Regions from separate parts of the Mus musculus genome. Here region 1 is reported to be linked to region 2. Evidence: microRNA targets listed by miRTarBase, many of them from high-throughput screens and not tested one by one. Region 2 holds a microRNA gene; the other region holds the end of a gene's coding sequence. Distances are from middle to middle.
Evidence for each region. Region 2 holds the annotated microRNA mmu-miR-466i-5p (UGUGUGUGUGUGUGUGUGUG, at 1,816-1,835, shown strand). A microRNA usually pairs through its seed, bases 2 to 8, with sites in the 3' UTR of a target mRNA and lowers its output. Matches are read on the target gene's strand: a 7mer-m8 pairs with bases 2 to 8, a 7mer-A1 pairs with bases 2 to 7 and ends in A, and an 8mer does both.

Region 1 (4,225 bases), 2.4 Mb from region 2:
GGACACAGGACAGAGGAAGAAGCCAGGCTGTCATAGGTAGAGGCTCAGGCTGAGATGGGCCTGGGCTTAGACCCTGTCTCCACGGTTCTCATTAATTTTCTTCCCTGGTCTTGCCTTCTCCCCCTAGACATCCCAGGCATCCAGACCCAGGCCGCCCATCCCCGCCAAGCCTCAGCTTCCTCCTGAAGTCTATACAAGTCCTGCTTCACGACTGCATCAGGCCCCACCCATTAACCCCATCTACCAGGAGCCTGATGAACCCATAGCCTTCTATGCCATGGGGCGGGGCAGCCCTGGGGACGCTCCTAGTAATATCTATGCTGAGGTGGAAGGGCCATCGGGAACGGCGCCCATTGGACACCCCATCCTCCGAAAGTGCTGGTCCAGGCCTATCTCAAGAGGCCAGGTAAGGGAGGTACAGGGAAAGATAAGCTCAAGGAGTCGAGCAGAAAGAGGGAGCCCCTCCTGAATATCGGGCAAGGTGAAGGTCAGCAGGCTGAAGCGAGATGGAGTGTTCCACGCTGCCGAAAACCTTTGCCCAGCTCCAGGCCTAAGGCTCTTCCTGGACATTCACGTGGACTCAGCTTTGTCAAGCCCTACCTGCCCCTACTTCAGGTTTCCTTCAACCACTCTCCATCCCAGGCTGCCTCTCATTGGTCAGGCCTTCCTCACACACATGTGACACTGACCCAGCTCCCTGGAGAGCGTCACTGCCAGTGGGCTCAGAGGAGGAGGCTGCCACACTGTGTGCTCACCCTCACAGTTTCCCCACAGAGTTTCAGTCATGTCTGAATGTGGTATTACTATTAAAGGAGTCAGACTCTTTCCCTTGTACCTGCGTCAGGTCCTACTTCAGGCTTCCTCTCTGCTGCCACCAAAGGTCCCTGCTTGGCCCTCACCAGCCCAGCTCACCTGTACCCTACCAGCCTTCTTAACCCTGGGTCCATCCAGGCTCTGCCAGGGTTCCAAAGCCACTCCAACATCAATTGAACCAACCTCACTCGCACCCTGTGTGGGCGCGCGCATGAGCGCGCGCGCGCACACACACACACACACATGCACCACGCACAGTGTCCTGTGTTCCACACCCTGATTGATTAACCCCCAGCACCCAGCTATCCAGCCAGAAATGTGGGGTCCCTAAACATCTCCATCCCCTTTGCTTCAGTCTCTGTCTGTCAATAATGTCAGTTGCCTCTACCTCCCAAGTTCTGGAATTACCACTGTGTGCTCCTACAGTATGTGGGATCAAACTTGGGGCTTGGTACGTGCTAGACAAGCACTCTATGTCTGAGCCACACCATGATTTCACTGAGTGGCTTAACTGCCTTCCTAGTACCAGGCTTGTCAGCTCTGACCTGTTCTTCCCCGAGGAAGCCAAAATGGGCTCTGTGAGTCAGCTGCCTGGTCCTCCAGCTCTTCCATACTGAGGCGAGGTCCCACTTCGTCAGCCCCACTTCAAGCACCCACACCATATTTCTCCAAACTCACCAAAGGCTACCAAGTCAGTCCTGCCCACAGCAATCCCTACAAGACCGCCCTCCTGCTGCCTGGCAACCCTTAACCCCACTCAAGACCACAAGCCCTTCCCCTTGCAAAGCCTTCCCTGGCCTGACCTCCCAACACACCCTTGCCAGGCCCCTGCTCAGCCCAGACTCCCATTGCTCTTTTTTTCTTCTATCTCCCCTTCCTGCAGAGCCTGATTCACTAGAGGCAGCCCTGGGGGATGCTCAGCTATCTCTAAAGTACTGGCCCAGTGCTTGGCATGAAGCAACTGCCTCAGGGAGGGAGGGGGAAGGGAGAAGAGGAGAGGCAGAGGGATGGACGGGAACCTAAATCCCCTCTGGAGGCCAAAGGGTTAAGACCATATACCTTCTCCTAGAGACTGTAGCTCTGCCAAAGAGGCAGAGGGTATGACCCAGAGCTGTCCTTCTGTCTGCAGAGGACAGATGGTCCAGAGCTGCATTCTGAGGACTGTGTGGCAGAGTAAGACCCTGTCCTTCATCATGAGCCCCCCTGGCCCTAGAGGCTTGCCCTTTCTAGACAGAGAGCACTCATGGCTCCCCATCAGGCCTTATTAGGGGTAAGTCTGATCTGGGAGGGTAGCTTGGGGCATTTTGTGTCCTGAGACCTTCACAGACCCCTGGGTCCTCTCTTAGGGAAGGCAGGTGGGATAGACTACAGGTGAGCAGAGCTTCATCTGCTACACGGATGGCGAGGAGGTGTCACCCCGCGTGCCAGCTCCAATCCATTGGTCTCGGCTGCCTGGCATGCAGCATTGGAAGGATATTAAGGTCAGATCTAAGCTCAGCAGAAAGGAGCAGGTGACGGATGAGTGGCGTCTGCTGTGGGTGCGGGAAGGGTGAGCAGCGTTTCTTTCTCTCCTATCAATTAAGTCCAGTCCTCTCATTATGCAAATCAAGAAACAAGCCAGAGAAGGAGAAAGCCTGGGCCAAGGTCAAGGATTGAAACCCCTCTCAGCATTCCCCATCCGTCCTCTGAATCCTCACTTCTCCACAAGGGACAGAGAGATTTCCTCAGCTAAGAAGCTGGTTGCTCTCCAGAGTTCTGCACTGGGACCTCCCTGCACTCCACCTTTCCCTGTCCCCTTAACAAGTCTGCCTTCCTTGCTCCAAAGCAGCCTGGAAGTCAGAGGACCAAATGTGGGATCTGTGCTTCCTCATAGCAACACACACACCACACACACACACACACACACACACACACACACACACACACACACACACATGCATGCATACACACACACACATACACACACGAATACACACACATGCTTGCATACACACACACATGCACATACACACATACATGCATACACACACATAAACACATACACACACACATGCATACTTGCATACACACACACACACAGACACTCACACTGCTCCCTTCTGAAAGTCACCAGGAACCAAGGCAAGGAACTGTATGTACTAGGGAAGCCATCCTGCCTCCTGTGCCCTGGTTTTTCCTCCTGAAGAAACTGGACTTTAGGAAGCCTTGGCACTCTGAGCCTTCGCATCTGGGCCCCGATCCAATGGCTGCTGTTGTCTGAGAAATGTTTTGGTGAGAACAGATGTTAGGATTTGTTTGTTGGTCCTTGTCTGGCTAATAAATCATTAGCAACAATCTCCCTCCTCGGGAATCTCTGTCCTTCCAGCTCCTCCCCAGCCCTTTTCTCTCTCCCACTGTCGCTCATAGGGGTCTAGAGGTTCAAAGACACTTAGGCAAAGTTATTGATCTTTTGGCTGAAAGTTAAAAACCATGAGGACAAGGACACGGACTCCCTTTGCCAAGTGCTTCTCCCTTAGCTGGGGTAGGCTGGGTGGGCAGCCCGGGCACAGGAGTGGGTGCCTATAGAGATGGGCAACTCAGGACTTGGGAGAAGGGTGCCTTAGCAATCTGTGAGCCCTCAGAGGAGGCAGCTTAAGTCCTTACCTCACTCAGGAGCCCATCCCCCTCCCTGCCCCATTCTATGGGCCTTTCTCCCTTCTCTGCCCAGACTCACTTCAGGACTGGCTTCCTGCCCTAGAGCTAAACTCCTCTAGAGTCCTAGCCCGGGAGCAGTCTGTGCTAGGTCCCACTTTCATCTCACTGGAGGTTTTCTGAGGCTGGCCATGCATGGCCCTACTGGCTCCAGAGTCACCCGAGTCTCTGGAGGTAGCCTTTGCCACTGTTTCTCTCTCTGTGTAGCTCCCCACACAGCTGTTACCCCGATTTACTACAGCTCATTTAAGGTAACATGTGCTTTTTGTGTCCTGTCTCAAAAACAAAAAAACAAAACAAACGAAAATAATGGACTGGCCCTCTGAACCTGTAAGTCAGCCCCAATAAAATGTTGTCTTTGTAAGAGTTGCCTTGGTCATGGTATCTGTTCACTGCAGTAAAACCCTGAGACACTCTCCTGTTGCCTTGACTTCCCTGCCGTGACATGCTTAAAGTGTGAGCTAGGAAAAAAACAAAAAATAAAAACCCTCTCTCCCAGCTGATGCTTTTGTCAGAATATTTTATCCCATCAACAGGAAGAGAAACTAAGATAGCACTTCTTCTTCCCGGCCCAGGCACTCTGGCCCAGCCTGCTCTCACATCTGCCAACAGTCAGACTGTTCGCACTGTAGATCCAGCTGTCCTCCAGACCCAACCTTTCGCCAGTGACTGATCCTCACGACTGCCATTCCCTGCTCCTTGGGGGAATACAGCAGAAAGT
Region 2 (4,225 bases):
TCATCCCATCGTCTCTAACATCTGCATACTTGCACTTCACAGCTCACAAGTCTAACCTTCCCAGGTAACTGGCCCATTTGGGTCTGGTGTACCTTCAATCTCTCTTTTTTTATTTTCTTAAAAGAAACATTTGAGAGCTGAGCATCTAAGATGGCTTTGGATTCACACCCACTGTCTGTGGAACAGCTTGAGGCTGACAAGATTAGCTCGCTGGAACGCTCTGGGATCCGTTCAGCCTAAGCTGCTGCCCACACACCAGCCTTGCTCACAGAAGCTGCTTTCCGCAAGCAGCAGCCCGCTTCACCTCCTCCATCCTGGCTCGTGGAACTGGTCCTTGATGTCCTACCTGGTCTTGAGGACAGTGGCTTCCAGCCTCAACCAGTCCTCATTCCCAGATTCCAGGATGTGACCATGGTGATGTCTCAGCCTCTCCAGAGGAGTCCGAAGGGTGATACTTCTGTCCTTCCTCCTCCCATGTCTAATCACCTGATTTTACAGAACCCAGCATAGCGAGCAGTGCTGCAAGCTTCCTTCCCCTCCCTCGGCTCTCTTCTTCTGTCCCTTCTTTCTGTAATATCCAAGGGGACCAGACAGAGTGGGCCTTGATAACACACATTCCCTTGGCTCCAGAGCAGTAGCTTCTAAAACCTGTAAATAAGACAGCTCTATGCCCCTGTGTAGACATACACCCCAAGGATAGGCTGGCTCCCTGGTACCTGTCCAGAGTTGAGAGTTCAAAAGACAGACCAGTGGATAGAAATGCTATCATGCCCACCCACCCCCACCCCGCCAAGCAAGGCCTGCTGGCTCATGTACCTGGCCAGACATTACATGAGCAACGGGCAGTAATTGTTGTCTAATCTCTTCCCAGAGGTTTCAACTAGTTCCAAACTGTTGTGGCTAATAAAAACAGAGAAGATTTGCAAGAAATTCCAGGTGCATCGGAACACTTTGGGGGATTGTGCAGCCTGCAGGCAGACGAAACTTAACTCAAATAAACATAAGGTAATATGTGTTGGCAAAAGTAACCTGAAGTGGGAGTATACAACTGTACGTTTCAAATTGGCTGCTGCCTGTAAGGATGGAGATTGGTAGTAGCTCAGAATGGATGAAGTGGGCAGAGTAGCCAATGTGCATCCCAGAATAACCGAGGCAAATCAGATCTCATCTCACACAGACCCCATCAGTGGCCCAAGATGGAGCACATGACAGATTCCGCAGTCCCACTTTCTACTTTAAGGATGAGGAGACATCGTGGAGTGGCCTCCAGATTTAGGGGTCTCCTGTGAGCCAGGAATGTGTGGTCATGTTCTCAATGGAGCGAGTAAAAGAAAGTGTCTGTTTTTGTTCATTGAAGTCATTGACTCCAAGCCCTGGAAGCTGCCATGTTACCTCCATCTGCTGCCTAACTCTCAGGGCCACATTTAGATAAAGAGCCGAACTTCTGAACTGCAACAGCCCTGGACTTCAGTCAATTCCCTACTTTCTTACAGAAAAGAAAATATTGAAAAGCTGTATTATGGTGTCTTATATGAATGTGCTAGTTTCCAGGATGGGAGGGGCTGTATATTCACCTATATTCACACACATATACATGTGTGCATGTGATATACATTCATGTACACCCTCCTATAGAAATAAGTGTATGTGTGTGTGTGCATGCATATGTGTATATGTGTATGTATGTGTGTGCATATACACATGGGTGTGCATGTGCATGAGTGCATGTACGTGTATATGCATGTTCTCTATTGATATGTGTGTGTGTGTGTGTGTGTGTGTGTGTGTGTGTGCAGGTGTGTATATACATATATATGTGTGTGTGTGTGTGTGTGTGTACATGTACATGTGAGTATGTGTGTGTATATGTTTGTACATGTGCATGTGTGTGAGTATGTGAATATATGTGTATATGTGTGCATGTGCATGTGTGTGTATGGTGAGTAGGTGTTACTAATTGTGACTCCGATGGCTGTGTCTCCATCTGGCCTAGGTGACAGGTAAGCAACTGCACTGATCTTTCACAGGTAGCAGCAGCCTTATAGGGCAGGAGAAGACTGGCACCTCTGCACTGGCCGTGACCTTACCTGCAAGCCCCCGAGGAACAGGAGCTTTTTTACTCCTCCATCTTCTGGCTTCCCAAGCAGGTGCTGATATCTTGACAGGGAAGGGGAAATGCTCTGTCCTGGCCCTCTTGCCTCACAGAACTAAAAGCTAAACATGGCTTCAACTACCTCAGCGGCTTTCTTCTCCCACAACCACATGCAGTAGAGAGGCCCAGCGCTGCAGAATACATCTGTGATAGGAGAGGAGAGCTTGGATCTGGAATGTTCTAGAAAGTGATGGAATAATTTGAAATCCAAACTGTCTAAAGGCTGAAGAAGAAAGGAAGCCATTGCCACCTGCAGGAAGCAGCCAGGTCCTTTTGACCTCTCAAAGTTCTTGGCTGTGAGGTTCCATCATTCAGCTGATAAAACAGAGGAACAAATGTTACACAGGGAAGTTCACAGGAAAAGGGTCAGTACAGAGTGTGCAGAGCTTCTGGTGGTATAAAAGCCAGTCACTGAAAACTAGGGACATGTCCTCAGTCCTTGAGACCTGAAGTCATCTCTTCTCTTCTAAGCATCCATTATACCCAGGATTCCACAGCCCTAGGCCTTCTGGAAACAAACTTCATTTCCCCAAAAATTGTCTGCTACCCTAATGCCACCGGAACAAGTTTTTTAGCTCTTGGGTTATAGCTCAATGATGAAACACTTGCCCAGCATATACAAGACCCCAGATTCCACCTCCAACAACAACACAAAGCACGCCAGTACATCTCAGCCTGTGCAGAGGCTCAAATTTCGAAGGAAATAGGAAATAGATTCATTCATTCATTTAGTGACTCTTTCTCTTCTGCTGTGTATGAGACGCTGTGTTAGGCAACACCAGAAATAAGGTAAAGATTTAGCAGGTGACCACAAACGAGAAAGTGCAGTGCGTTCTCCACTTTAATCAGAGCAAGCCAGCAAATAAAATGTTCTAGGCAGTTTGTCTTGGCACCAGCCACAGGAATTTACCTGTGACATCCTAATAAAGAGGACACTGAGACATGACATCCACAAGGACTTGATTGGCTCTCCTGGAGCTGATTGTGCACACCAACCCCCAGGAAATAAGGCCAGGAGGTCTGTGGTGAAGCCTGAGTGTCCACGGTCCAACTGGGTCCTGGGTAACGTGGAAGCTGTTGTGAGTCTTGTCCTCAGAGACATGTATATAGAAAGACTCTAGTTCACCTCACTCTACTGAGCTGCATCTTAGGAAGGGCAATTAAATCCTAGCTATCACCCTGCAGCTGACAGGGCACACACACACTGCCAGCTCTCAACTAACTGGTCACACCCAGGGTATTTTCAGGCTATTATTATTATTATTATTATTATTATTGTATCTCAGAATATTTATATGAATAGCAGAGGAAAAAATATTTATTTACTTCCTTTTAAACATTTTTTTTTCTAAGTCTAACTTTTCATATTGTTGGGAGGCTACAAACTCAAGATTGTTTCCAAGGGATACCTGGAAAGCTAGGATGTCACCAGAATGTAGGACCATCTGCTACAGCAGATACTACTTCCTCCCTTGAGCTGAGAGACTTGGAAAGATTGACCCCAATTAAGAAGATGGGGGAGCAGGCAGGATGAGGAGGGAAGGAGGGAGGTTTTAGATAATGCGATGGTGTATCTAAAGCCACTGATTCGGGAAGAAACAGAGAGAGAGAGAGAGAGAGCACACCAGATCCAGCTGGCCTCTAGCTCTCTTTCCCTCCACCCAGACTGATATGTGTGAGCTGTCCTCTCTCCTCCTCCAGTTGTCTGCACAATGCCACCGCTCAGGTCACCCCATGTCACTGTTTCCTTCTGCCCTTGCCAGGGCCCACTGTCTCGCTAGTTCATTTCACTGCATTTAGCACCGACAGTGACCCACAGAAGAAAATACAGTAGAGGACACAGCCAATACGAAGCCCCAAGGCAGGAACAGCTGCTATCATGTAATCAGTAAGGGCAAGAGGATCCAAAAACAAGCCATTAGAGAGAATGCCACGAGGTGGGCCCTCGAGAGTGCTTTGGAGTCTGTACCAGTCATCAGTTGCTGCATGGCAACCACAAACATCCAGTAGTGCCCACCAAGAAGCCTGTTGTTTCCACTGCCCAGTAGTGCATGGATAAGGGCAGCTGACCTT

Region 1: miRTarBase lists Sh2d2a as a target of mmu-miR-466i-5p. Seed matches in the 3' UTR shown: 8mer at 670-677, 8mer at 1,040-1,047, 8mer at 1,042-1,049, 8mer at 1,044-1,051, 8mer at 1,046-1,053, 8mer at 1,048-1,055 and 48 more.

The regions. Positions count from the first base shown.
Region 1 is chr3:87,851,940-87,856,164 of GRCm38, forward strand. Sh2d2a (SH2 domain containing 2A) reads left to right here. Exons shown (of 7, transcript NM_021309.3): 7 at 128-3,783. The coding sequence ends at 469. Among named protein-coding and RNA genes, the nearest start is that of Sh2d2a, 7.3 kb to the left of the region's middle.
Region 2 is chr3:85,465,567-85,469,791 of GRCm38, forward strand. It overlaps Mir466k (microRNA 466k), which reads left to right and starts at 1,811; the gene lies at 1,811-1,932. The region is part of intron 1 of Gm31419 (a long non-coding RNA gene); the gene reads right to left.